Canis lupus familiaris: one gene and its partners. The protein of the gene in region 2 purifies or fractionates together with the protein of the main gene of each other region. This does not show direct contact. Links are inferred from orthologs where the notes say so. Each region holds a gene or a part of one and is shown on either strand. Other genes may lie near its edges.

The links.
Region 1: the proteins of ATP6AP2 (region 2) and ATP6AP1 purify together in Homo sapiens (affinity purification with mass spectrometry; 5 studies listed by BioGRID and IntAct, counting the BioPlex papers as one, with this or other methods). This does not show direct contact. The link is inferred for Canis lupus familiaris from reciprocal best matches to the Homo sapiens genes ATP6AP2 and ATP6AP1.
Region 3: the proteins of ATP6AP2 (region 2) and CCDC115 purify together in Homo sapiens (affinity purification with mass spectrometry; 3 studies listed by BioGRID and IntAct, counting the BioPlex papers as one, with this or other methods). This does not show direct contact. The link is inferred for Canis lupus familiaris from reciprocal best matches to the Homo sapiens genes ATP6AP2 and VMA22.
Region 4: the proteins of ATP6AP2 (region 2) and ATP6V1A purify together in Homo sapiens (co-immunoprecipitation; 3 studies listed by BioGRID and IntAct, with this or other methods). This does not show direct contact. The link is inferred for Canis lupus familiaris from reciprocal best matches to the Homo sapiens genes ATP6AP2 and ATP6V1A.
Region 5: the proteins of ATP6AP2 (region 2) and ATP6V1F purify together in Homo sapiens (affinity purification with mass spectrometry; 3 studies listed by BioGRID and IntAct, counting the BioPlex papers as one, with this or other methods). This does not show direct contact. The link is inferred for Canis lupus familiaris from reciprocal best matches to the Homo sapiens genes ATP6AP2 and ATP6V1F.

What each region holds. Positions count from the first base shown.
Region 1 is NC_049260.1:123,318,707-123,324,901, reverse strand, and holds the start of ATP6AP1 (V-type proton ATPase subunit S1), read right to left. Parts: upstream 4,058-6,195; 5' UTR 4,006-4,057; coding exon 3,863-4,005; intron 3,627-3,862; coding exon 3,500-3,626; intron 1,148-3,499; coding exon 1,073-1,147; intron 794-1,072; coding exon 600-793; intron 94-599; coding exon 53-93; intron 1-52. UniProt on the Homo sapiens protein: Accessory subunit of the proton-transporting vacuolar (V)-ATPase protein pump, which is required for luminal acidification of secretory vesicles.
Region 2 is NC_049260.1:35,212,622-35,217,798, forward strand, and holds the end of ATP6AP2 (renin receptor), read left to right. Parts: intron 1-2,754; exon of another isoform or gene 2,755-2,915; coding exon 2,916-3,110; 3' UTR 3,111-3,968; downstream 3,969-5,177. UniProt on the Homo sapiens protein: Multifunctional protein which functions as a renin, prorenin cellular receptor and is involved in the assembly of the lysosomal proton-transporting V-type ATPase (V-ATPase) and the acidification of the endo-lysosomal system.
Region 3 is NC_049246.1:19,094,032-19,100,010, reverse strand, and holds the start of CCDC115 (coiled-coil domain-containing protein 115), read right to left. Parts: upstream 4,016-5,979; 5' UTR 3,445-4,015; coding exon 3,334-3,444; intron 3,264-3,333; coding exon 3,160-3,263; intron 3,073-3,159; coding exon 2,990-3,072; intron 2,380-2,989; coding exon 2,233-2,379; intron 274-2,232; coding exon 161-273; 3' UTR 1-160. UniProt on the Homo sapiens protein: Accessory component of the proton-transporting vacuolar (V)-ATPase protein pump involved in intracellular iron homeostasis.
Region 4 is NC_049254.1:18,714,471-18,719,891, forward strand, and holds part of ATP6V1A (V-type proton ATPase catalytic subunit A), read left to right. Parts: intron 1-534; 5' UTR 535-544; coding exon 545-629; intron 630-3,321; coding exon 3,322-3,450; intron 3,451-5,421. UniProt on the Homo sapiens protein: Catalytic subunit of the V1 complex of vacuolar(H+)-ATPase (V-ATPase), a multisubunit enzyme composed of a peripheral complex (V1) that hydrolyzes ATP and a membrane integral complex (V0) that translocates protons.
Region 5 is NC_049235.1:7,644,259-7,650,177, forward strand, and holds ATP6V1F (V-type proton ATPase subunit F), read right to left. Parts: upstream 3,662-5,919; 5' UTR 3,532-3,661; coding exon 3,374-3,531; intron 1,378-3,373; coding exon 1,176-1,377; 3' UTR 920-1,175; downstream 1-919. Other genes in the region: protein ATP6V1FNB, read right to left, coding at 1-363. UniProt on the Homo sapiens protein: Subunit of the V1 complex of vacuolar(H+)-ATPase (V-ATPase), a multisubunit enzyme composed of a peripheral complex (V1) that hydrolyzes ATP and a membrane integral complex (V0) that translocates protons.

The DNA of each region.
Region 1 (6,195 bases), about 88 Mb from region 2:
AAGGGCTGAGCAAGGCTGGAAAACGTGTGCCCTCCCTGACCCTGCTACTCACCATTGCCCGTGAGAACCTCCCTCGGTGCCATGAGACCTGAGCTGTGGAAGAGAGGCAGAGCATGAGAGCCCCCGCAATCCGGACAGCGCCCCACCGCCTCGGGACAGCTCCTGTCTACGCCTCCAGCACACCCTCCCCTCCAGGCCACCGTCCTTCCCCACGGGCCGCGTTCAAGTAGCACAGTATAGCTGGGGGCTCTGGAGGCCACGCTCACTCCTCCCTCTGCACCTTCGCTGACTGCCTGGCCCTGCCCTCGTCACCCCTGTGCCAGCTGCTCCGGGAACATGTCCCGGCTCAGGGAGCTAGCTCCCCCGCCAGCAGGGCCCACGTCTGCCACATCTCTGGAGGCCCGACAGGCCTCACGCAGTGCCGGGCACTAACTCCTGAGTCCCCGCTGACCAGAGGCCCTTCCCGCCTCTTCCGGACACACAAAGCACCTTCTGATCGGGCTTCAAGGGACTAAACGGGAGGACCATTGTCTCTGGCTGACCTGTGCCATCACAGCCCAGAGCCTCACCACTCTCTGGGCTCCGAAGCTGGGGCATACCTGGACGTGTAGGGCAGGCGGATAAGCAGCAAGGCCGGGAGGCTGGCATTGAGTTTCAGCTCCCGCAGGGTGGCCAGGTCCACGTGCAGGGGGCTGGCCCCGAGCTTCTCCTGCAGGTAAGTGGTCAGAGTGCTGACCGCATACCAGTCGACAGCAGGAAGCACCAGAGAGGAAGGTGCCAGGTCCAGGGCATTCTGGGGGCCAGGGAGAGACAGAAGGATAGGTTAGCAAGGGACCAGCAGGCCTGAGCCAGCCCCCAAACCTCTCGGGCAAGGCACAGGCACACCCACACTCACACCAGGGTCTTATTCAGAGTCAGAAAGAAAACACCCCACACTCCTGGTCCCTGACATCTCAGGCCTTTCTACCCTCTAAAGCCAGCACCTCTGGTTCCTAATGGCACAGTATTTATTGAATGGAGGTAGAGAGTGCAGGAGAGCCCCCATGGCCCTTGGCTGGGAGAGGACTCTTACCTCCAGGTTAGAAAAGGCGCTATCCTGCTTGTTTCCAAACACGCCGCCATATGCTGTGAAGTCCTCAATGCTCAGCTAGTAGGGAAGCAGAGAAGGTGCCTCAGAAGGTTGGGCCAGGACAGGGGGCAGACACCTTCCCTGCGCATGGGCAGGGACAGCCAAATCTCATTTGCAATCAGACACAGTCTAGTCAAAAGTGTGGACAAAGGCACGTTTGGGGGTAGCGAGTGGAGGAATGGGAGGTTCTCTTTTTCTCCTTCCTGGTAGGGTGAGAAAACATGGAAGGTGGTCATGGGGTTGGAAGGCAATCTGCAGGCAGCTGACTCGTAACCTCAAGATTCAGAGTCAGCCACCTGCCTTCAGATGAGGAACTGGCTGGGGAAGAGGGAAGCTGGGGGAGGGGCTGGGGGACAGCGAGGAACATTTTCGGCAGCTCCCCCACTGCCACCGCCGCCCCATCCCCAGGGCGGAAGTCAGAGAAAAGGAGAACCTGCGTGCCAGCTGCAACGCCTAGCACTGCCTATGTCCAACCTGGACAAGACCCTTTTTCAAAGAGAACAAGAAGTTCCTTCCCTGCCTGGTTTTGGTGGAAGGGGAGAGAGGAAGATGGTAGAATCTGCTGGAAAGAGCACTGAAGTCCTTGGAGCTCTCCGGACCACAGTAACCACGATCCCATCCCTTTTCCTCTGCAACCTAGACGTGTCCTTCAACTCCTGCCCTCCACCCGACTCCCAGCTTCCTCTGGCTTTTCCCAGTTAGGCCCAGAAGCGATCTTAATCCGTTTCTCTAACCTGATTCTGTTTAGTATACACACTTGCCCAGCCTCCTCTGCCATCTAGACAGGCATCCTAACCCTGTTTGGCTCTCATTCTGAAAGCCCAGGAACCACCACCGTGTCCTCTCAGGACTCCTTGCTCAAAATTGCCCAAAGCTTCCTGCCACATTTAGAACTGCAACCAGCCTTTCCCCGGTTGTCATCCCTTGGCTACCTGGCTACCTGGCTCTCCTCTACTACACTCCAGCCACACCAGCTCTTTCATGGGCTCACCAAGCGCACTCCTTGCCCAGGGCCTTTGCACCTACTGTTCCCTCTGCCAGGAGCACTCTTCCACCCATACCCACATGGCTGTGTGCCTCCCTCCATTTAGGTATCTGCTCAGATAGCCCTCCTCAGTGAGCCCGTCTGATCACCCTTATCTTAAACAGTATCGCCAATCATTCTGTTCCCATGGCCTGCTTCTTTCTCTGAAAACTACAGCAGCATTGCCATTATATCATACACCAACTTAGCATGTACCTGTTGCCCTCCCGAGGCTGCCAGCTTCCTCCGGGAGGGGCTTGGGTTACTCTGCTCGCTGCTATGTCCCCAACACTTGCTACCTGGGACACTACAGGCAGTCCATATTTGGCCAATGAATGAATGGATGGATCCCATAAGGGGACCCCGGAAAGGTGTTTTACGAGGCTTATAAGAATCGCTCCTCACAGTCTTCTGATACAGGTGGTATCTTCATTGTACAGAGGAGGAAACAGGCATTCACAGATTATCTCCCACATCCAAAGGGTGGTAAGTAGTAGAACCAGAACTGAGTTCCCGTCTAACTACATTATTTACCACCTCCTGGAAGGAGTGGAGGCCAGCATGACCACCATGACGTGCCCAGAGAGCAACTGAGCAAGACCACAGGAGAATGAGCCACACAGGCCACCCCTGAGGAAGGAATAAGCAGAGGCTCAATAAGCTCCCAAACACCAATTCTACACTGCCCTAGAATCTTCTCATGGTCCATATGCCTGCTTTGGAGGCAGAGACCTGTATGGCAGGGAAAACTGTGTGCCTGAGCACAAAGTGGGGGGTGTCTGACAGACTCCGGCTGGAACCAACCAAGTGTGGTGCGCATAAGCCACAGATCATTCGTCAATGGTTGCACCTCTACCAGCCTTAGTTCCCTTGGCAGTGAATCCAAGATAATGACATCAGCTTAGCACCGTGCATGTGAAGCACTCAATTAAGTGATCATTTTTCAATTATCTCTACTATCGTCATCAAAGTTAGGATCACAGCTCTGTCACCCATTAGCTGAGTGACCCTAGGCAAGTCATTTGCCGTCCTTGGACCCGAGTCTTCTCATCTGTAAAGGGGGATGATAATCCCCCCCACATAGAGTAGCTCGGATAAGTGCTTGGTACTGGGTAGGCATCTGGCCTCTCACCCGGGGCTTCAACCGAATCAAGTCAGTGCCATTTCAAGGCCCTCACCGTTCCCACGGAACCTTCTCCTGCAGGCCTTCCCAAGAGAGGAGCCACACTTCCCTACGGTTGGGACAAGGTCACTGAAGCCTCCCCTGGGGAATGGGCTCGGTGTCCTGGGGGGAGGGGGGCCTGACTTCTTCCGATGACAGGGAGAGAGGGCTGGGGCGGGCGCACCTTGTCCTGCAGGAACAGCAGCACATTCCGGGGGCCCAGCTCCAGGGCGGGGTCTAAGTAGGTAGAGAGCTGCATGTCGCTGGTGATGTGGCCCTCGTGGGTGCTGGCCGCAGGACCCCACAAGTCCCTGGCAGGGCACAGAAGAGGTGCTGTCAAGTGGGGGGTGCAGGCTTGCGACCATCGTGACGCGCGGGGCCCCGAGCTCTGACCCGGCTGGCTCCCCACGGGCCGCCGAGGAAGGGACAGTCCGCCTCTGCCCCCCTCGGCCGCCGCTCGCTGAGGACAGCCCCGGAGCCGGGCGAGGGCGCCTCAGCCGCCGCGGCGCGCAGCGCAGCCTGCCCCGGCCCGGCCCGCCACGCTCACCGGTCACTCGACCACAGCACCAGCGGCACCTGCTGCTCCGCCGCCGCCACCGCCACCAGCAACAGCGGCAGCCACCGCATCTGTCTGAGCGCTGGGGCCCGGCGCGTCCCCGCCAGCACCCGAGCCGCAGCCATCGCCGCCATCACAGCCTCGGCCTCCACTGCCTCGGCCGCCGCTGCCGCCGCAAATCAGGTGACCATCGCCTCCGCCCGAGCTCCGCCCCGCGCCCCCATTGGCTCGGGCGCAGGCCGGCTCGCCAGGCCCGCCGGTGATTGGACAAGGCTCACGCCACTCAGGGCCGCTCCTTCGCACGGATTGGCTGTACGTGCCTCCGGCGGGCACGCTCCGTGCGGGAAAGGCGGCAGGGCGGGGCTCGGCCGGCTCCCACCGCGGGCTCCCAGCGGGAGCGGGGCGGGGCCGGGGCGGGGCCGGGGCGGGGCCGGGGCGGCTCGGCTCGCCGGGTCCCCGCCCTCCAGGCTTCGCGTCTCCCGGCTTTAATCCTCCTTTCGCTTAAAATGGCAGGAGTGGCTTCTTTTTCCCAGAGGTGGGCCCCGCCGAGACAGAGGAGGCGGCCGGAGGGCCCGGGCTAACTTCCAGAGGAAGGTCCTGCACTGAAAATGGGCGGGGAGGAGGAGGAGCGTCGGGGGGAGGGGAGGAGCCAGGGAGAAGCGCGGTTTCAAGGGCACCAAGATGAGCAATGTCAGTGTCACTTGCTGCCAAGAAGCACGTAGGATGAGGACAGAAAACCGTTTCTTGGACTTGGCAACACCTGGAGGCCTTGGCAGGAGCGATGTCAATGGGGGGAAGGAGACGTGGTTGTAGATCGTCCTTTCTCGACGTTTGCTTTAAAGAGAGGAAAGAGGCCATGGGACAGCTAGAGTCAAGGTGGGAGACACCGCATCAAACCCATTGGAAGACTTCCTTTTCCTGGGTCATTTTTGATTTCTCAGGTTGGTGACTATTAGAGATCAACAGTCGAAACACTGGAAACTATAATTAAATTTTGAGCTCCCGTTAAGGGTATGCGCACTGATTTCGGAGGAACTGAAGTGATGCCCGCAACTCAGTCTGAAATGCCCCAAAAATAAAATAGAGCGAAGTGGGACTACAGACATAGGTGTGTGATGAAGCAACCATAGTAAACTGCTAATGGCAGAACCTAGGGGGTGGATCTATGGGTGGGCACTGTAGGGTTGTTTTTTGACCTTCCTATAGGTACTGGATATAAGGTTGACCCCCTAAATTCATGATCCATCCAGAAATGTGGTCTTATTTGGAAATAGGGTCTTTCCAGATGTGATCCAGATACGGTCATGCTGGATTCAGGTGAGCCCTAAACCCCATGACTAGTGTCCTTATAAGAAGAGGAAAATTTGAACACAGGGAAAAAGGCCACTGTACAGTAGAGCTAGAGTGAGGAACCCCAGGACCCGCCAGAAGCCGAAGAGGCAGGAAACATTCCTTCCTAGGGGCTTTCATTCAGAGAGAGTGGGCACATGCCTGTACCTTGATTTTGGACTTCTAGCCTCCAGAACTGAGAGAAGAGATTTCTGTTGTTTTAAGCCTGCTGATTTGTGGGGCGTGCCTGGGTGGCTCAGTCGGTTAGCATCTGCCTTTGGCCCAGGTCATGATCCCAGGGTCCTGGGATCGAGCCCGCATCAGGCTTCCTACTCCACTGAGGGGAGCCTGCTTCTCCTTCTCCCTCTGCCTGCCGCACCACCTGCTTGTGTGCTTTCTCTCTCTCTCTCTCTCTCTCTCAAATAAATATTTTTTTTAAAAAAAGCCTGTAGTTTTGTGGGAATCTGTTATAGCAGCCCTAATAAACTAATACGCTGTATGTTTGACATTTTTCATAATAAAAATATAGAGAGAAGAAAGTTTGATAATGATCCTGGAATCCCAGGATCAAGTCCCACATCAGGCTCCCTACGTGGAGCCTGTTTCTCCCTCTGCCTGTGTCTCTGCCTCTCTCTCTCTGTGTGTGTGTCTCATGAAGAAATAGAATCTAAAAAATAGAAGAAACTAAGAGTAGTTTATCCTGACAGTTTAAAAAATGTAGAATAATTATAAAATACAAAACTCACGAATTTCAAGAAGAATTAAACATGTAAGAATTTGAAATCCATTTCTCTTTCAGGGAGAAATATTCAACCGAGACATGGACTTCTAATTTTGAATTTCTGGCCCAAATTTGCCACAACAACACACACAAAATAAATTACCCACACCTCACCAAGCAATTCTAAAAACTGGCATTATGTGAGTAAATCAGACTATTTCTCTGGCATGCCCAATGAATCAAAAGGAAAGCAGAGAACAAATGATGGAAGGCC
Region 2 (5,177 bases):
CTCTCTCTCTCTCTGTGTGACTATCATAAATAAATAAAAATTAAAAAAAAAAAAAGTATGGTAGGCTGGACAGTCCAAAAAATATTCCCACTACAGAGCATCTAGGAATACCGATAAAATATAAACATCTTTTTGAGTGTATAGTTTAGCTCTCAAGACATACATTCTTCAGGAGCAAATAAAGAAGAGGAACTCAAACTGGTAGGCAGGCTACCCTGGGAACATTTCTAGTTGGGTTACCAGGAGAGTGGTAGTAAGGCCCTGGCTCCCTCAGAAGGGCAGGGTTTGAAATGGACACTTCTATATAAAACTGGGGGAGCCAAGGCAGACTAAGAAACCGGTATCTGCCCACTGGCAGAGGAAGACAAAATGGCAGGTTGGGCTCCTCCATGTAGTTGGGGAATGTTGTTGGGGATGGGAATGTCTCTTAGGGAATTCTTTTTTTCTCTCTTTTTTTTAAGATTTAATTTATTTATTCATGAGCGACACACAGAGAGAGAGAGGCAGAGGGAGAAGCAGGCTCCATGCAGGGAGTCCAACGTGGGACTCGATCCTGGGTCTCCAGGATCACGCCCCGGGCTGCAGGCGGTGCTAAACCTCTGGGCCACCGGGGCTGCCCTCTTAGGGAATTCTTAACCACAAGTCCACCTTCATGTGGGTTTGTGGCTCAAATTTATATTTACTGCAAGTTCTAGGAAGCCCCAGGCCAAGAAATTCACACAAACCCTGGTCTCAAGATGGTAAGACCTGTGGTGCCCAGCAGGAGTAAATGTAAAACCTCTGGTAGGACATTCCCTCCACACGAGCCACAGTGGAGCGGGTGCCCCCAAATGTGAACTCAGAACACCATGAGGCAGGGGGAGCCAGTTTCCTGTGAGTGCAAGGTAACTACTAACGTGTCAATTAGACCACCAAAAACTTCTGTAGAATATGGATATAGGCTATAAAACAATTTAAACTGATTAAAGAAATAGGAGTCAAGAAAAAGAATAAGATACTTTTTAAATTTAAAAGATTTTATTAGAACACAAGCAGGAGGAGTGGGGGAGGGAAAAGCAGAAGCAGACTCCCCCTGCTGAGCAGGGAGCCCCATGCAGGGCTCAGTCCCAGGACCCTGAGATCATGACCCTAGCCAAAGGCAGACGCTTCACCTACTGAACCACCCAGGCGCCCCTCAACATACTTTAATGGCAGATGTGAATGTAACTGGAGCCTTCCAGTACTAGATTCTTTCACCACTGTCCCCACCAGGCCTGCTAATTTTATAGGAGGTGACTCTGGAGAGTTTGAAGAAGGTGTCCATGTTTTGGGAGTTTGGCAAGGCAGTTTTGCAGAGGTGAATTACTTTGTCTACTCTGAGGTGTTAGGTGGAATTTATAATGGATAAATGGAGTTTATTAGGAAATGAGCTTATTGGGAAAGTAGTTTCTAAAATTATTGTCTATGTGGGGAGGGGCCAGAATCAGGTGGCAGTCACTGGATTTTCTTTACCTACAAGGTAGTGCATTAACATCTTACACACATAATCTGAAGTCTACAGTATCTAGCAGACAAAAGCACTCAGAGCCAGGAGGCTTGTACCCAGCACCCCTGGGAGCACTGTTCTGCCCCGTTCTCCTGTGTCTGGTGTCTGCCCCTCAGCTCTGTGTAGATGATCTCCCCAGTCCCCAGGAGACAAGGCCCTGGGCTTAAGGTTCTCTGTAGGGTACTGGAAACGTTCTACAGTTAGGTTGTGGCACCAGCCGTGCAGCCCTGGGAATATCCTAAGGTGCAGGGAGTTGTGCACAGGAAGAGAGAACCTGTTTACCCCCAAAAAGAAAGAGGTTTCCAAGGGTGAAATCCTTTAGTGTTTGCCTCCTGCTCTGAGCTTCCCACACATGGGAATGCCCAGCTCCTCTCTCCCACTGAGATCACGATCTTGCTTTAGTCTGAGGGAGAGTGTCAAGAGTTTAAGGAAAGGTTCAAGTGCCCACAACATGCCAGGTGCTGGGGTCTGGGGCTGCTTTCTCTTCTCTGTCCTTTTAAGACAAGCCTGATCCTATTGCTTACTTCCTGCCTGAAACCTCGCCCACAGGCTCAAGGCCACATTGCCCATACCTCCCCTGCCTCTAGCCACTCGTCCTGCTGCTTTCCTCCTTGTTCTGTTCTCCAGCCAGGATGAACGAAGCTTCCCCAACAATGCCTCTGCGCACACCTGGAATCGACTCCACCCCCACCAGGGCCTGGCAGGATGAAGTTGTGGCTGAATGAACTATTTGTTTTCCTCTTTAAAATTAAAAATTTTAAGTGGAGCACACATAAGCATATAGCATGTGGGGAAGGGAACACAGTACTTGTTCCTCTGAACCTCCCGGTCCTGTCCCTGTACCGTCCCCATCCCCAGGTAACTGCTGTCCTGATACATTAGTCATGCCTGTGATTTCTTTACAGCTTAACCACGGAATGGATTTATCCTTAAACACTAGTGTTTGGTTTGCCTGCATTTGAATTATATGTGGACGGAACCCTGCTGTGGTTTTCAGAGTCACACAGGCTGTAGGTCAGGCCTCACTGCCACGGCTTCCGTTGTGTGGACCTGCCACATTCTCCGTGCGCTAAGTGGACATCCCTGTGCATGTGTCTCAGTACACAGAAGGTTGCCCTAGGGTATGGACTTGCTGGATTACATGATATGCATACTTTCGACAATAGTGAGGTCACCACACTTTCTGAGGCAGTTGGACTGGTTTATGCTTCCACTGACTGTGTGCTTACCTTTTCCGGGGAGGCTCCCCTTCCTGGCTCCTCCTAGTAGAAGCATGTCTTAATGCCGCCTAGGAATAAATGTTTGATAAATGAATCAGAGCTACCAAATGGGGATAATTTCCTATCTTAAAATTCTTCCCTCTTGATTTGCTTTCTTTTCTTTCTCGTAGAAGAACCCATCAAGCCCCTATAACCTCGCATATAAGTATAACCTTGAGTATCCGGTGGTTTTCAACATGGTACTTTGGATAATGATCGCCTTGGCCTTGGCTGTGATTATCACCTCTTACAATATCTGGAACATGGATCCTGGATATGACAGCATTATATATAGGATGACAAACCAGAAGATTCGAATGGATTGAACTTTCCTTACGCCAAACTTAAAAAAGAGGTTTGGAAATTGGCTGTTCTGTTAAATCTTCTAGTGTAAAGTAGATGGTATACTTTAAATTTATAAAAAAGAAATTTTGTTTTCCGTGTGCCTGTAACGTTCTTTTAGAGTGAATTATAGTATTGATGTGAATTGATTTGTGTGGTATAGATTCCATGATATGCTCAAATATGATATAACCATTTAATTTCATTCCATTTAACATTTGGAAATGTGCACTGAAATAAATGTAAAACATTTAGAATAGCTTGTGTTATTTATGTTGGGGGAAAATGCACTGAATTTATTAGACAAACTTAGGAGCGCTTAACTTCCTTACACAGGACAGGTGAAAATGACATTTGGGCTGTTCTATACTATGAACCATTTGTAAATGTCTTACCCTTGATGTAAATATCTCAAACAAGATAGAACGTTTTTAAACTTCAAGTAGCCCTAAACAGGAGATTGAGAACTGCATCTGATTCACAGAGGGTAGCTGGCTTTTAACCTCTTCTGAACGTTTGATGATCTAAATCGTAGGGTGCATATTAAAAATACTATGTTGATCTAAAAAGAAACTGGAAAAAAACAACTGGAGTTATAGATACCTGTCATTAGATACCCAAAAGCCAGTATTTGGGGGACATCTATAAAATGGGGCTTGACTATAAAATCTTTATTTTAATAACTCTTCCCCCTGTGTAAGTTACTGTTAATGGTTTGTGGTACGTCATTCTCTAGAATATTAAGTGGAAGTAGATGCTCCGGAAGTAGATGCTCCCTACTTTTCATGTGGAAGTGGACCAATGTCTATAAAGAGTGACAAATAAAGTTAATAATGATTCCAGATTTGTGTCATTTCAATACTAAATTTATTTTATATTATAAAATCCTAACAAAGCAGGTTGTATTTACTCAGAATTGGCTGTTACACAAACGGTTTCATGTCTCTTTAACATTTGTTTATTCTCGCTGCCTCCTGAGATTCAGTTTCAAGACAAGACATTTTAATTACCATTCTTATTGAATTTATACAGAATATCTGGTGAATTCACACTAGACTTTAAGTAGGAAAAGCCCAAATTTCCCTGTAGTATTTAAAAGAGGAGTAATTGATCAAAATAGAAAGGACTATCTAAGGTAAAGGCTTAAAGGTTATAGTTTTATTTCTTAAAAGACTTAATAGAATTTTAAATTTCATGATCATGTAGCAAAATCAGTCAGTTGTGCTGTCCTGCCCCTGGGAACTCTACTTGGGCTCAGCAGGAGCTGTTTCCATGCCCCTTCTTTGGGAAGATCATCACATCCTTTTTAAGTAACACTGAGGGTGGCAGGTTTGAAAAGATGGAGTCAAGCTAGTTGCATTTTCTACCACTTAGTGGAAGATACCTTTAACAATTACAGTGTTAAGTGTCCACAGAAGAAGGTTTGATTTTCTTTGTCTCCTCTAACTATAAATGGCCAAGCTGGTATCACGTTCCCTGAGAAGAGAGTTCCAAAATCACTGAAGTGTTCTCCACCTCTACCTCCCTGGTAAAGTTATCGGGGTGAGGGTGTTTTCAACTGCCTGTTCCCAAAACGCTAACCCCCAGAGAACTCAACAGGGCCTGTCTTTGGGGAGCCAGAAATCTATAAGGCTGAGGAATAGTTAAAATCTGTGTTTCTTTCACAAATTTCTTATATAAACATTGCCAGAGAAGACTGTGATTACATAGGAAGTAAACCAATGCCTTTGTAATTTAAAACTGATGAGATGAAGTTCGAGGGGAGAAAAGAATTACATGACAGCACTGCTCCTCATAGTGTAAATGGCATCAGCACCCTTCTATCTGTTAGGCAGAAAGCAGTTAATTAAAATAAATGTTCTGCCAAGATTATTATACCTGTTGCTGATGATTTGCTTTTAAGTCTAATTTTGTTCAGGAACATAAATCAGTGTGGAGATTTGTATAAGAGGCAGGAAAGCTAGACTCATGACAGACTATTCTACTGACAAGCTGAAAAAACCCAATCAGTTTATATCAAATTGGTAGAATAATCCAGGCTTATAAAATAT
Region 3 (5,979 bases), on a different chromosome or scaffold from region 2:
ACCTAACAAAGCTAGAAACATGCAAACCAGAGAAATTTTAAGGAGTAGAACTTGTTGAGGTGGGAATAGGAGCAGGGACAATCTGTGAAGCAAGGAGTCCTGAGATAAGGCAGCCACACCAAAGAACAGCTGTGCTCACGACCCTGCCTCTGGTCACAAGTCAGGCAGATTCTGGCTCCAGATGCTTGAGTTTCTCCTGGAGCCCCCGGAGCTGGCTTCGACCCCAGTCGATGCGGATCTGAAGGCTGGCCATGTCTGCAGCCAGCTGCAGGCCTAGAAGAAGAGATAAGACTGTCACCATGGTATCTTCAATGTAACACATGACTCAGGGGGCTCTGAACATTTCCAGGGACTGGAAAGCCTCCAGAACTCTCTGGCCTCCACAGTATTCCTAAAATATTCCAGGAAGAGCCTTGCACTGGCTACTTCAGAATTTCACTAGACCCCACACCCTCACCTCCTTCAGATCTTTACAAAAATGTCACCTCTGCAATAGACTTCCTTTACTCCCTTATATTACCCACCAGGAACTAACACTGATCATATTACTCACAGATCATAACACTGCTGCATGCCCTCATTTCCTTCCTTCATTTTAATAGTCCTTCATTTTTCCTGCCTTCTCTTTCTACATGTTTTCTCTGCCCTCAAGAGTGCTCCACATTCTGGATCCCCATCTAGGTGGCTTTTGCCTGATGCTTTTTTTTTTTTTTTTTTAAGATTTATTTATTTATTTGAGACAGAGAGAGAGAGAGAGAGAGACAGAGGAAGAAGCAGGCTCCATGCAGGAAGCCCCATGCGGGACTCGATCCCAGGTCTCCGGGACCACGCCCTGGACTGAAGGCGGCACCAAACCGCTGAGCCATGGGGTCTACCCTGATGCTTCTGCTATTAAGTCATTTGGGCACTCCATGCCCAATCCACTTGCCCATCCAGTCTTCAGCCTACCTGCCTGCCAAGAGGGCTGGCCACACATCTGCTCACCTCCTTCACTTTCTCGTCTTGGATCTCTCACCCTTTGAGTGTTGCTCCTGTCTCTGCTACTTCTCAGTTTCCTCCAGTGGTTTCTCCCCTTCTTCCTCCTACCTTCTGTCCACACTCTGAGGCCCTCTGCTAATCTCTGCTTTAATGCTATATCTGTGCCAGCAACTTGGAAATTTAAACACCAATGTTATGCAGTGGGCTCCCCAAATCTCTCTTTCCAGCCCAAGTCTCTTCCAAACTTGGATGCATGTGTCCTGACACCCGATCAGAGTCTCCACCACACAGCCTAGGAACATACTCTTGCCCAACTCCTGACTTACCCTTGGCTGTAGCTGTGCAGCCCTCTCACACCAGGTGAGAGCAGCTTCACTCTCCCAGGTGTTCCTGCTGGAATCTGTGGGCTTATCCTTCACTCTTCTCCTTCCCTTACTCTCAAAATGATCTGTCAGCAAATCTTGTTGCTTGTACTCTCAAAACATGCAGGTTCTTATCAGTGACCCTCTCCTTCACTGCCTCTACCTGCATTTCAAGCTTGGCTGGTCTCTGGCACCTGCTTAGTCCCTCTGTTCTTGCCAGTCTTCTATCACTCTGTGGGTCCAACTGTGCCTCCCTCTCTTCAAAGCAATCCGTGACTCCCCAAAGTCTTCATCAGGACCTACACCTAAAATCACCTGGGCCCAGCCCCTCTGATCTCACTCCTTCCATTCCTTGATACATAAGTGGCAGTCCAGCCCACTTGGCCTCCTCTCTGCCATCCTGAACATGATTTCATCTCAAAGCTTTTGCCCTGGCTAGTCCCTCTGCCTATAGCACGGATCCTCCAGATCACCTCCATCTCTTCAGAGAGGCCTTTCCAGACTACCCTCCATAAAATAGTTACCCTCCCCACTCTTGTCTCACTCCATCCACCATACCCTATCTTATTTTTTTCATAACAATTCTTACTACCTGGTATTATATAAAGAACCTATTTAGTTATTTGCATGTTCTCGCTCTCCCTTCAATCTATGAGGGCTGTTTATTGTTTCCTGCTGTATCCCCAGCACCTAGCATGAGCCTGGAACATTGCCAAAAGCCAGTAAATGCTTTTTTGAAAACAAAACAAAACAAAACAAAACAAAAAAAAAGCCCAGCAGCTGTGCAACAAAAGCCTGCTAAGGAGAAACCTAGAAAACCTTTTGCAGATTAACCCCAGCCAGGCATGGCATCAGTGCTCAAGTGCTTTCTGTAGATAGAGCATCCACTCACCCTCTCGGAAGCTGGCTTGGGCATGCCGCAGACTGTGAGGAACCAGGATTCCAAACCAATTCAGAGGGTCCCGGGGGGCTGGGGAGGACTCCGGCTCTGGGGTTTTGGTGAGACCCTTGCGCCTGCGCAAAGCTGGAGAAAGACAGACTGGAGGTTGGGGTACATTACTTGTACCTTGTCTCCTCTGTGACAATGTTGAATTTGATTTGAGCTCATGATCCTGACAAACACTGATGGCTGGAAAAATGCCTCCAACCATTTATGTTCCAGAGAACATCTTACCACAAAGAACAACCCTTCCCTTTGTGATTCAGATGAGGCCCTGACCACTCTTTCCCATGACTCTCAAGATCAGCAGATGACCCCTTGTTTAGCTGTGACAGTGCCAACACACTGACTTTCCCCATTTTGCCTGAACATGCTGAAAGGTAGGACAGATCCTCTAACTCCCCATTCGTCTCATAAGTGATTGAAATTATAAATTTCTCCTCTGAAACCAGTTAGACATATAAACATTTTCTGTTCAACTGAATGAAACTTCCCCTGATTGCAAAACTATCCCAACTGTAACGGACCTCAGCTATAACTTGTCTATTTCACCCTACAGAAGAAAACAGCCTGGCGAGACACTGTGATCCTCCAATCCAGGCCGCCCTCTCTATCGCAACACCCTTAATAAACTCACCTCCTCTATTCTCCTGTACATTTTGTTTTCCACACTGGGAGAGCGCCCTGACGGGAAGAAAGAGGGACTCACCTGCCTCACGGGGTCCCAGCTCCTCTGGAGTCTGGGCGCTGGCTCTCATCACCCAGAACTTCTGGAGTCCGTCCTGGGCCTCGCTGAAGAACAAGAAGGCAGTATGGATATTTGGAGGCCCCAGCCTGGACCCTGCCCACCCACCGGCTCCAGCAAGCATGGCTCCTCACCTGGTGTAGACGCAGACCTGTGGCTCCATGTGGGAGGCATACTGCAGAGGACCTACAGACTTGGCGCCCATGGCATAGCGAGCTTTGGAGAGCGAGAGCCAGCCCTGGGGTAAGAGAGGGTGGTGAGACTCGGTTTACCCTCGCACGCCCGCCCACCCCTCTCCAAGGTCCCACCTCCTCCACCCGGGCGTTCAGCGCCGCCCGCTTCGCCTCCAGTTCTTCCAGGTCCCGGAGCAGTTGCAGAAGCAGCGAGTCCAGCTCCGAGCGGAGGTCCGGCGCAGCCATGGGCCCAGCGGACAGAGGCCTGGAACCGGCGTCCTCACAGGTCGCCCAATCGCCGCTCGTCCCACGGCCCGGCAACCAATAGACCCACCTGCAGGGGCGTGCCCAGCCGAGGGGGGGCGGGGGCGAGTTAGCCACCGTGTAGAGGCCACCAGGTCCCCGCCTTTAAAGGCAAGCGCTCTCAGAACAGCCCTAGAGAATGGACTAGTCCCTCCGGAGCGGGACAGCCAGGCAAACAGTCGGCTAGAGCTTCGGGTGGTTCCGAGGTGCTTCTGGAAGAGGCCGCACGAGAATAAGGCTAGAGCTGTGGTGATGGAAGACGCACAGCCGTATGGCCGCCATCAAGTCACTTTTGATTTTAAGGGAGACGAGGCTTTAATTCCAGGAGCCGGTAGGCGAACCTCCAGACAACCGCTGTGCTGCTTTTCCAGTTGCTGGATCATTTCGAACAACGAATTCTGATTACTTTAGCGGTTCATAATCCTAACATTGAGCATCGCGCACAACAGTGACAAGTCATGAGACACGCAGCGACAGCTGACTCACTGCTCTCCTAGGCGACGTGATAACGTCTTGATGCCCTTATTGGCTGTTGCAGGGAGCATGCGCCTCCGGACTGGCCAATCGCCTTGCGACTACCAACCCACGCTCCGCCATCTTAACGTCGGGCACTGCTACGGGAGCCAAGCGTGGTGAAGCGTCGAGCGACCTTGTTGGTTGAGGGCAGACGCGAGGGTGGCGTGGCTCCTGCGGCCGCGGCAGAGTCTCCCGGACCCACGTGGAAGCCGAGCTCGGGATGGTAGGGGGGATGCTGGAGGCTGGGGGTGGTTCCTGGGCCGGGGGCGCGTGGGCGTGCGGCGAGGACGAGGCTGAGCGGCCCCGCTGTCCCGCAGCTGCGCCGCGAGGCCCGCCTGCGCCGCGAGTACCTGTACCGCAGGGCCCAGGAGGAGTCGCAGCGAGCGGCCCAGGAGCGGAAGGACAAGGTTCGGCGCGCGCTGCAAGGTACGCGGCCCGGTGGCTTCACCTGCGCGGGCGGCCGGCCGGCCTCGGCACCTGCCGGAGCCCCGCGGAGTGACAGGCCGGGCGGGCGGGACGCGGGTGCCGGCGTTTCTTAGCGTTAGTGTGGCTGCGCAGCGCTTCGGGTACTTCCTGGCCGTTTCCTTGCCTGTTGGGTCCTCCTGTTGGTTTGCAGACGTTCCTTCCGAGATGCAATAAATCACGCATCATCTATGCTGCAGTATCCAGATTTTACAGTTTTCCCATTTTGTTTACACTGTGTGTTTGGTTCATCCCAAATTTTAAGTTTTTACGTCATCCTGTAGATATTCACCCCCGTACCGTCTTGCGCTGTTTTTCTTTTTGCCACCTTCTTGGGTACAAGAAGTACAATATCTTACCGCCTTTTGGCGTTAGTATGATTCCATTGCATTTTAAAGTGTTAAACCGTAGGGAACTTAGTTTTATTCGAGTTGTGAATTAGGATCTACCTTTGCAATATTTTCTCCATTTTCTTGTTATACTGATAAAGAGGGTTACGCATGCCTGAATGGAAATGTTGTATTTATCCCTGTCTCTTGCCTCTTGTGTGGGCGGAGCTTGTTTCCTATCTGGATGGTACATCAGCTTAATACCTTTGATTATTTTAAATTCACTTTGATTTTCTGTGTTTTAGACATACAAAGTACATGTGGTATATGTTTATATGTTTAGATGAAGCGTTGTTAGACACCTGTGACCTATCTGCCCACATTAGAAATAAAAAATGCTTAATATATTGAAATTCAGGAGTATTTTCCCCAACTCAGAATAGCCACAGTATTGAATACTGTGAATATTTCATTGAATGAAATAAACCATTTCATTGCTTTTCTTTGTGCTTATGTCGTACTTGTTTGTATTCCTAAATGAAATGGGTCGGTTTTTAGTTTTAAACTTACTTATTAAGTTGTATGTATTCTTTCCCAGCTTTAGGTTTTCATTTAGCATTGCTTTTAACACCCAATGAGTATGGTGGGGGCTCCCATTTCCCTGTGCTTGGTGCTGACCTTATTTTTAGTTTGGGGTAGTTAGAAACAGCATTGCTGCTATGAACCTTCTCTTCCATGTGCAAGAATTTCTCCGGGGCGTATTGGAAAGAAAAGCTGAGTCCAAGGGCATGTTCATATTCAGCTCTGTAGGCATACCCACCGCAGCCAGCCCTTCTTTTACCAAGTCCAGCTGTAGTTCACAGAGGAAACCTCTCACCCGGAGCATTAAGATGAGCAGTTTTGTTGTCAGAAGGTTTCAGGGTTTCTGGTCCACCCTCATACAGAAAGAGCCCTCTGTGTGTATTCTTTTAAAAATTAGCTTGTTAATTTTTTTCTAATTACAAAAACAATTATATACTTGCAATTAAATATTTTAGAAAGTCCTCAAACAATGAGACTCGGGAACCATAGAAAATGAGGTCTCCTGTAACCATTGTTGACAGGTTGGCATATAGACCAAAATAGTTTTGCTTTTCTCTTCCCCCTGCCAAAAATATGTATCACTTTTCTG
Region 4 (5,421 bases), on a different chromosome or scaffold from region 2:
CAGGGAAGAAAAGAGATATGTTGCAATTATAAATAGGGGGCCAGAGAAGCACCTCACAGAAGGAAACATTTGAGTAAAGACTTGAAGGAGTTATAGGAATGGCTATCTGGAAAAAGAATACTCCATGCAGGGGGATAACAAAGACCCTGGTGCAGAATGTATGTGTTTTTAAGAAAGGCAAGATGTTCAGTATGTATATGCAGAATGATAAAGGGGAAGAGGAATTGGGGAGGAGGTTAGAGTGGTAGTGGCAGGGAGGACAAGACGTGGGGCTGGATGAGCCATAGGAAAGACTTCGTGTTGTTTCTTATGGTCCTTGTTATTTTCTGTGGAATACTTTGCATAAAAATATGTACTTCTGAATTTTAATGACTGTAGACCCTCCAGGAATAGGGCACTTTTAACCAAATTTTAAGAATTTTATATTTTACTCTGAGGAAATGATAACTCAAGAATACACCAATGATGGGCATTGACTACTTATGTCAGTTTTCTTGCTTTAGAGTTTGTAACTATAATTTTTTTTAACCATAGGTAAATTAACATGATGGATTTCTCCAAGCTACCCAAAATACTTGATGAAGATAAAGAAAGCACATTTGGTTATGTGCATGGGGTCTCAGGACCTGGTAAGTAATATGTAATAATCTCGATAGTAAAGACTCTTAACTTAAATGAATGTCTTTTCAAGGCATTTTAGGTAAAATACACAGGTATCTGTTCACCCATATAAGTTCTGTTTGTCCCTAAAAGATTTCTTAGTTGTTATTGAGGTAATACCTCCATCATAAGAACTTCTCTGGCATTCATTACCTTAATAATTATTGGGCACTAATTTGTAATACCCTGTTTATTATGTAAATGTATAATTGGTGTTCAGTTTTAGATGTCTTAATTTTTGTGTGAAATCTAAGCTTAAAAGACTATATAAAGTTCATAGCTTTTAGTATATAATATCTTGCAGATAATAGTCATTCAGTAAATATATGTTTATGTAGTTTGCCCTTAAATAATTTTTTTCAGAGCATTTCTCAACAATATCATTCTTGGCTCTTTGCATATATAAATCCTTCTGAACACTTATTTTAGATATCTCATAACTAGTTATATGTGGGTAAGAAGTTTTATGATGTGAGAATAATAGAAAGCAGTTAAAAACTTTGTTTATCCTGCCAAAACTTGCAGTACTGCATTTTAAATGATAAATCTCATTCTAGTATTCATTTTAATCTAACTGTAAAATATGATTTATAGTTTTCCATAGGTAAAATCTGCTCATTGATTTATAATCCTTAGGCCATGGATATTTTTCCTTATGTCTTTTTATAAACCTCATTCTATAGTCTTTTTTTGTTCTATTCACAGTAGTGGTGATGACCCTTTTTCAGTGTTTATGCAAATAAAGTCAGTCAGTCACAGTGTTTATTTTCTCCCTAAGAAGCTTCTACTGAAGCTTAGAACTTGGTGTTTGAGCTTGAACTTATTGGCAAAAATGCATCTCACTGTTTTCAATCTTTTTTGCCATTTGAGAAACAATTTTCCCCTTGATTGAAGCATCTTTAGGAAACACAGGCTACACTCAAGAATTTTTAGGGAAAAGACAAAGAATACCATCAAAAGAGTTTAGGTAAAAATGTTTCTTTGAAACTTGTAGTAAACTCCTAGAACTTATTATTCTTAAGTATTTAATATAAAATGATAGAGAAGTGGCATATTTTTAAGCTTCTGAAATATGGTTTTTAAAAAGATTTTATTTGGGATGAGCACTGGGTGTTACACTATATGTTGGCAAATCGAACTCCAATAAAAAAATACAAAAAAATAAAATAAAAAATAAAAGATTTTATTTATTTATTTAACAGAGAAAACACATAAGTAGGCAGAGCAGCAGGCAGAGGGAGAGGGAGGAAGTAGGCCCTCCACTGAGCAGAGAGCCGGATGCAGGAGTCAGTCCCAGGATCCTGGGATCATGACCTGAGCTAAAGGCAGACATTTAACCGACTGAGCCACCAAGGCAGCCCTGTGAAATATGATTTAAAATTTTAGAGACATCTGGGAGGCTCAGTCATGAGCGTTGAACTCTTGATTTGGGCTCAGGTCATGATCTCAGGGTTGTGAGATTGAGCCCTGAGTCAGTCTCCCTGTGGTGGGGAGCCTGCTTGAGATTCTCTCTCCCTCTCCCTCTGGCCCATCCCCCCTCTTAAAAAATAGTAAAATAAAATTTTAGTCATCTCTGACATTTCTGTGCATCTTAATTATTCTTATATGGTAGGTGTAGAGGTAAATATTTATGAAATTAACAAATCTTCATTGTCCTAACGCGTTAATTGAATATTAATACTTTAATGGTTTCTACTTGAATATTTTTAATATTCAGCCTTCTGATACATTTATTAGAACTATGTATTAGGTAATAGAGTTATTCCTACACATATCTGAAAATGTACAACTTTCCCTGCCTACCAGAAAAATAACTTTTACTTACTAGACAACATGATCTAAAATATAAAATAGTAAGTAAAAATTCTGGTTCAGAATTTATAAGAAATAAGAATTCTTAATCAGGACTTCACCCAGTGGTGATGACTGATTATAAACATCCTTATGAAAGGCTAAAAGGTCTATGAAAAAAAAATTTTAAGGTTTTATTTTTTAGGTAATCTCTACACCCAACTTGGGGCTTGATCTCACAACCCTGAGATCAGGAGTTGCATGCTCTACTGATTGAGCTAGACAAGGTGCCTCTGAAAAAAACTTTTGTAGATGCATATGTGAGTTTTTCTAGGTAGAGCTGTCATTAGTTTATCAAAGGGGTTCTTGTCCCAGAAGAGCTTTAAGAACCACCAATATGAAGTGTTAGAAGTCAAAGTAAAGATGTAATTTTAAATATTATTTCTCAAAGGAATGGTAACAACACAGCAAACTGATTCTGCCATGCTACTAGCTAAAGCTCTTGTTCCAATTTTAGTTTAAAAATGTTTTATGTTGTTCCTAAATCCCATCATTCCATGTAGTATAGCAACTTGAGTTGATCAAAATGTGCCTCAATGCTGCTAGGTAAGAATTTACTGTATAGAACTTAAGACTTTTTGAAAATAATTTTCATGTGTGTTATGTAAATGAATAAACTTTAGCCTAACAAATTTATTTTGTTTACCTCTGTATCAGATGCTAAAATTTATATTCTTATAAAACGATATATGTTTCATACATTTTTTCTTAAGAATATATGAGAAAGATGTATTATTGGATTAATTGGATATCTTAATTATCTCTATTCACGGAGTCTTAAGTTACTAAAAACTCATTTGTTCTTTTCAGTGGTTACAGCCTGTGACATGGCCGGTGCAGCCATGTATGAGCTGGTGAGAGTGGGCCACAGTGAGTTGGTTGGAGAGATTATCCGATTGGAGGGTGACATGGCAACTATCCAAGTGTATGAAGAAACTTGTATCCTTTTTGGTTCAATTTTTTGCCACTTTCTGCAAGTCAGAATTTAAGGATTTATGGCAAAGGTGGAAACAGCAACAACCAATAGTATCAAAAGCATGAAATGGTGTCATAAAGAAACCTGATTTATATAAGAATTTATTAAGGAAAGGTACTAGGAACTTATGATCATTTTTTAAGAAATTAGTATTATCTTCTGAACTCGTATTGCTCTTAATATTTTGGTAGTTCCCAAACTTTAGGGGAAACCAATTACAATTTTCTTGAGAGTGAACACATATTGTAAAGCATAAACAGAATGACGACATCGGTTTGAAGGGTTAAAATTCTCTGATCATGATTTCCATTTTAAATAGAAAATTCATAAATAAATGAGTCACTACTCTATCCTAATAAAATAATGTTGTATGTATGGCATGGTACATTATAGCTTTAGCACTAGGGAATCTTTACTACTTGTTTATCATACTTTTGTTTTAAGCATAGTATTTATTTTAAGTTTTCAATGAAAAAGAGATAATGTATTAGATTTTATGAAGAGGAACCACTTTTTTTTAACTTCACTTTTGTGTTTTACTTAAGTTATTCTCAAGATCAGCATTAAGTCTTATTTTTTTAAAATTTTTATTGAAGTATTGTTGACATACAATATTATGTTAGTTTCAGGTATATAACATAGGGATTTGACAATTATATACTTTATGAAATGCTTACCATAAGTGTAGTTATCCTCTGTTATCAAAGTTATTACAGTATTAATGACTATATTCCCCATGCTGTACCTTTTTATCCCCATGACTAATTTATTTTATAACTGAAAGTTTGTACCTCTTAATCTCCTTCACCTGTTTTGCCCATCTACCCAACCTTCTCCCCTCTGGTAACCACTAGATTGTTCTTTATATTTAATGAATTTGTTTCCTTGTTTGTCTGTTCATTTGTTTTCCAGATTACACACATAAGTGAAATTACATGGTATTTGTTTTTCTCGATCTGACTTAATATGGACCTTCTAGGTCCACCCATGTTGTCACAAATGGCAAGATTTCATCCTTTTTTTTAATGGCTGGGTCATACTCTATTGTGTAATATAACATGTATATATTGAAAACACAGTATATTCTATCTGTATACACATAACGGCCAGAATATTCTTTACGCACATGCACATGCCACATTGTCTTTATCCATTAATGTATCAGTGGACACTTAGGTTACTTACATATCTTGGCTATTGTAAATAATGCTGCTATAAATATACGGGCAGCATTAGTTATTTGGCTCATTAATTAAGATTTACTTTATACAACTTTTTTGCCATATTAAAATCCATTTTTTTCAGGTAACTTCTCTGTGTGAGTACTAGGGTGCTAAATCAAAGTAAAATCATCTGAAAATTTAAATAAAATTAGAAGTCTGTAGCTATAAAATCATAACTAATTAGAAGGATTTTTTAATGGATGTTTTTTAATGTTAGGTTTATCTTTCAATCTTCTATGTGATTTGAAGACTTAAAATAAAAACAAATGAACTTGTATACAGTGAAAAACCTCTCCACCATTGTCATCTTATATCTGGCCAATTTTCAAAACACATATGCATACAGCCACTTTTATTAATTCCTTTTTTTTTTTAATTTTTATTTATTTATGATAGTCACAGAGAGAGAGAGAGAGAGAGAGGCAGAGACATAGGCAGAGGGAGAAGCAGGCTCCATGCACCGGGAGCCTGACGTGGGATTCGATCCCGGGTCTCCAAGATCGTGCCCCAGGCCAAAGGCAGGCGGTAAACCGCTGCGCCACCCAGGGATCCCTAATTCCTTTTATTATATATCTTTCTAGTTTGTTAACTAATATTAATGTTATTTTTCTTCTCTTCATTCCCAAAAGATAGCATATTATATGCACTATTCTACACCTTGCTTTTTTTACTTAAAAGTAAAACATTTTACTTAAAAATGTGTATTATGAA
Region 5 (5,919 bases), on a different chromosome or scaffold from region 2:
CATGTCCAGTTTTCGGGTGTTGAGGTAGCGGTAGCGCCCCTGGAAGTCGTGGGAGATGCCTTCATACAGCAGGGCCCGGGTGGCAGGCAGGACTGGGTACATTTCTGACCGAATAGGAGCCTCCAGGGCAGGGCTGGGGACCTTGGAAGGCACTGCTTTGGGGGCAGGTGGAGGTAAGAGTGGGGCTTTGGGGTGCAGGGTGGGCAGTTTGAGGGGCAGGCGCGCTGTAGCCTTAGCCTTCTGCTTGGCCTTCACCATCGACCCATACTTATGATGCCATTCACAGCGCAACATCTTCTCCCTCAGATATTCCTCCTTCCAGAAGTTCTGCCGCAGCGTATCCATGCTGAGTTGGCGCGACATGGTAGCAAGGGAAGGAGCGGTACCAGGGTGGCTGCAGCTGAGGGATAAGCGATAGCAAGTAGAGTCCTTCCCACAGCAGGTGGCTGCCACAGACAGTCACCTGGCAACCAAGCCTCACCTCACACAGGGCCAGGGTTCTACTTGCCATGCCTTTAGCAGACCTCACATGCCTTGATCCAGAGGCAACCTCAGGCCAAGGCCCACCGGCTAAGGCCTTGATCTCCAAGCCTCTTGCAGGACCCAGGCTCAGTCTAGTATCACAGGCTTCTGGGTTTCCTGTGTTTCTGCTTCCGTTCCTTGGGGTCAAGTCCCTCCCCAGCCTGAGAGAATGAATTGGGGGAGCCTAGGACCTAGGCACAAGCCTCCTCCCATCCCTCCCACCAGAGCTGGTCACCGTTGATTCCAAGGATCCATCCTTGAGTTATGATCTCTTGGCACAATCTTCCTGGTCCAGCTTTTCCATGCCTATATCTTTGGCAGAACCCTTCCCAACCCTGCCAATCTAATCCCCCCAACCACCTCATCCATGCACGTCCTTTCTAGTAGCCAGTCTCAATTTGGAGAGAAACGGGAATGTTGCTTTAATTTAACATGAACAGAGACACTGTGTAACAGCACAGGGAAGATGTAGTGGAGAGAAGATACTCAGGCTTCCTGTTCCCTAACCAGCCTTGACTTTAATGGCAAAGCCCCAGCAATCTGGAAGCACCTCACCTAGCCTCTCAGTGGGTTGGGAAGGGGCAGGGGGCTGGGAAATCAGAGACGGGCTGAAGGCAAGCCTGGGGAAAGGCTGCATGGCTATGGGGAGGGCTCTAGCGCAGGTCCTCGGCCGTGAACATGCCCCTGGCCCTGCGCAGGATGGAGTCCTTGGTGGCATCATAGGGGTGCTCCTTGGACGGAATCTCTAGAACGGCTGGAATGGAGCGCTGGTGGGCGTCGAGCGCATGCCGCACCATCTCTGCGATGTATTGGTTGATGAGGATAATGCCGATGTCATCCCGGTTTAGAAACTGCCTGTTGGGAGAAATGAGAAGAGATTCTCACTCTGAGGTGCTGAGGCTGGGCTGCAGAGGAGAAGGGGCTTGACCCAGAGACTGCAGAGCACAAAGGCAAAAGTTGCTAGCTACATTCTCTTTCTAACCAGGATCACCTTCATTTAAAAATCTAAGGGCCCAGGACACCTGGGTGGCTCAGCGGTTTAGTGCCTGCCTGCCTTCAGCCCAGGCGTGATCCTGGAGTCCTGGGATCGAGTCCCCCATCGGGCTCCCGCATGGAGCCTGCTTCTCTCTTTCTCTGCCTGTGTCTCTGCCTCTGTGTGTGTGTGTGTGTGTGTGTGTGTGTGTGTCTCATAAGTGAATAAAATCTTAAAAGAAAAAAAAAATCTAAGGGCCCTCTAGCTGTCTTCTGCCTCCCCTGCCTGAAAGGCTCCCAAGTGAACTGGTGCTGAAGACTAGTGCACATGCTGGTGCATTCTTCTGTATGCTTCATTTGTGTAAAAAAAAAAAAAAAGAGAGAGAGAGAGGATAAGAATGTCTGTCCCTTTGTGTGTACATAAAGAAAAAGCAGAAAAGTAAATAAGCAATTAATTGCTCACAGGGGTGGAGGAGGGAGGTAACGAAGTGGAAAAAGAGGAGGGTGGGAGTGAGGGGTGGGAGTGAGACTTGTCCGTGTATACCTTTTAAATATTAATTTACAAGCTACATGAATAACTTTTAAAGGAAAGCTTTTTTTTTTAAAGAGGGCTGATGAGACCATTAAAGGTCTATGCTGAAGACGTTGGGGAATGGATCATAGGGGAAGTTTCGCATGAGTCAAGAATACAACACAGGAGGAGGAAAATCACACTTTCCCCAGACAGAGAACCTACCACTGGGATCTCCCTTCCTTATGACCACCCACACGTTAGTTAAGTAAAATATTAAAAACTATTTTAACTGAGCGCTTGCTCTGTGCCAGGCACTAGGGCAGGTTAGACTTGATGATCTCTGGGTCCCTTTGGATGGAAACATGAAAAATTCCTGGAGTAAAACCTACCCTCCTCCCAAGACAACTTGGGTCACTTTACCAGAATGCCTAGAGATCAGGCCGGTTCAGGGCCAATCATACCCCCGGCAGCAGGAACCAGTCTCAGCCCGCAGCTCAGGACTGGACTGTGTAGGGGAAACAAGTGAGAGTAGTTTGTCCCTGAGATTGGGTAACAGCCTCCTTCAGGATGGGGCGGGAAAACAAAGGGGGCTAGCATTCTCAATTCAAGTCACCAGGACACCTCCTGGTTTAAGGGACATGCCTGCATTCATACTATGAAGCTATCGCTCTTGACCCAGGGTAAGAAATCAGGAACTTCAAATGCAAGGTCTTAGCAGAAAGTAGCAGGATATAGTCCTAATACTCTGCCTGCGGTGCTCAGGACAATAGGAAATTCTAAGAGTTGAGGGAACTGCACAAGCAGTGTGAACCTGGCTTAAGAGAGTTAGGTCTGGGTTCAAATCCCCCCTCTCTCTCTTCCAAAGGATGTGACCTCTCTGAGCTTTAGTTTTCCTACTTGCAAATGGGAATAATAGCCTCTACTTTACAAGGCAGTTGTGAGCCTCTAAGGGACATAACAATACAAGAAAGCCCGACCCCACTGCCTAGGTATTCGATAAGTGTGTGGGTCGCTTAGGGTCGAGCGCTAACAAGGCGGGGAGCCTGCTCTACGGGGCGAACAGGGGCGGAGCTGAGATAGGACCCTGGGGCAGATTGGGGCCGAGGGGCGGCGCCCATCTCCAGATCTTTTCCCCTTTCCTGACACAGAGTCATGTGAGGGATGAGCTCGTGAACCTGACATAGCTCAGGTTCCCCCATGCCCCAAAAGAGAACTTGGAGCATAGAGGCCTCCTCCGGAAGGGCGACTGGACCGACTTCCTTGACCCCAGACATCGGGGTCTGGAAGCCCGGCGCCGACCCCGCTGACCCCCGTGGCTCCCACCCGAGGCAGAGGGTCCCATTCAGGCCTCGCGGGCTACCGTACCGGAAAGTGTCTTCGATCTCATTGATGGTTGTATCCTTCTCCACCACCAGGAAATTGGGGTGGCGGTTCTTGTTAAGCTCCCCTATGCCGCCCAGCAGGAAGCCAGTCACGGTGTCTTCGTCTCCGATCACCGCAATTAGCTTCCCCCTACCCGCCATTCTCGCAGGCAGGTAGAGCTCCGCGGCGACGGCCCTTAGACGACGAAGCCCCTCCCCCGCAGCGCACCGCCTTTTCGGCCGCGCCTCCGCCCTTTACACATGCGCAGTTCACCACTCCGCCTTCCGGGACATGCGCATCAAGAGTAAAACGTCTTAATCTGAATACGCCTGCGCAATAATGAGGGGCCCCGAACCTGGGGACTACGATTCCCAGAAGTGCGCGCGGCACCACAGGTTCACGCAAGCGCGTTCCATCGGTCGTTCAATAAACCCGATGCGCCCACTGCTGATAGATACCGAGCCCCCAGAAGAGGAGACGCGGTTTCTGTCCTTGAAGGCAAGGTCCGGGTCTGTATCGTGTATTTAACTATGGCACACAGTTAACAACTAGTACGTATTTGTTGAGTATATAAAATATTGGACAAGTTAATGGTGACACTGACTAGTGAGGTAGGGATTCAAGTGAACAGGCAATTAATTACAGAGCAGTGTGGTAATTGCTAAAATGTGAGCCGTACGTGGAAGCATCCACTGAAGGGATAACCAACCCACTGGGGGGACGGTGTGCGCAAAGAAGATCCCCCGAAGGATTTAGGAGATAGAAGTAAGGACAAGAGGGTGTTACACCCCGGGCAGGAGGAACAGCATATGCAAAGGCTTAGTGACATAGCATAAGTCCCCTCAAGCAAAGTTAAAGAATCTGGAACAAATTATTCTGAGGACAAATTATCCTGAAGTCTTTGGAAAATGATATTGTGAGATACATGTTTTAGAGATAAGCGCTGTCACGGTGCTGTGTGCAGAGGCAAGACTGCAGAAGGAGGGATCCCTGGGCGGCTCAGCGGTTTAGTGCTGCCTTCGGCCCAGGGTGTGATCCTGGAGTCCTGGGATCGAGTCCCACGTCAGGCTCCCTGCATGGAGCCTGCTTGCCCCTCTGCCTGTGTCTCTGCCTCTCTGTGTGTCTTTCATGAATAAATAAATAAAATCTTAAAAAAAAAAAAGACTGCAGAAGGATACCGTTTTGGTAAGAGATAATGGTGGTCAGAACTCAGGTTGTGGGAATGGGAATGTGGAGAAGGAGATGGAGTCAAGAGATATTTAGGGACAGAATGGACAAAACTGGTATTCAGATTGAATGTTTGGGAAGTAAGGTAGAGACCTAGCTGACTCCCAGGTTTCTGGCCATTGCAACTAGGTGGATAGCACTAACACGTCTGAGTGAGCTAGCCGTATTTCACCTAGTGTGAAATATGGACTGAAAGGTCCACCCTTTCCTCCTCTATTTTTAGCAAACAGGCATACTGGTGTTCAGCATATGGTTTGTGAGTTTAGAGTGCTTGAGACATCCAGATGGTCTCGTCTAGTGGGTATTTGTATGAGACGTTTGGGATTTGGGCACACCTGGTTTGAATCTTGGCCCAAAAGTCATACTTAGAGGTATGATTTTGGATTTATCATCAAAATTCTCAAGGCTTCAAGTTCTTCAGATAGTAGTATCCCTACCCACTTGATAGGGCTGTAAGGTTTAAGGGAGATAGAGTCCATAAATGCTCAATACCTAGGGCCATTCTACAGTTGTGGAAGAGCAGCTGGGCTGGACATCTATGGACACACAGATGGAAAGCAGATGATGCTGAGGAGGTGGCCAGCAAGCCATCCAGGAAAGCGCTCACACCTAGAGTGAGTGGGGAGGGAGGGCAGAGAATGAAGACGGGTGCGTGTAGAAGCACCTGGTTTAGTGCCTGGCACAGAACTAGCCCATAATGCTCACAAGTGGTTGGGTACTTAAGAGAATGGATCTTGCCTTCAGTGATTTTATCAGGTGAAGAGCTGGGCACATTTATACACTCATTCATTCAACCAGTGTTTATCAAATGTGGCCATGAGAAGGCTGAAGATCCATGATTGATAAGACATGATTTCTGTCTGCAAGGAGCTCAATGAAGGATGGGGAGGAGGGCAAACATAAGAGAGGCCCTGGAGAGAGGTCTTAAGGGGGCAGGATTCCAAGCAAGGAGGGGGAAAGGGAAGAAGAAATTTAAAGAAGAGTGAGGAGGCAGATAGGCTACTGAGTAAACCAGGTGAGGAGAGTGGTCTTCTCTGACCTACCCACCAATATGTGCTGAAATGTCCAGGAGCAGGTCTACAGTTGGCGGGGGAGGGGGGTGTCAATTTACTGAAATCCTTTTTGGCCCTGCTGTGTCTACTGAATTATCCATTTACTCGCTTGTCACAGCTGTCTATATTAGACCTTCCAGGGTCAGGGAGCTACAAAGTCACAGATCAGTGTAGTAATGCAAAGATGTGCCCTGGGGAAGTTTCAGAGCTGGGGGCAGGGGTAGATCAAGGGGGCCAGGAAGAAGAGGAGGGTGGAAAGGCAAAGCATGG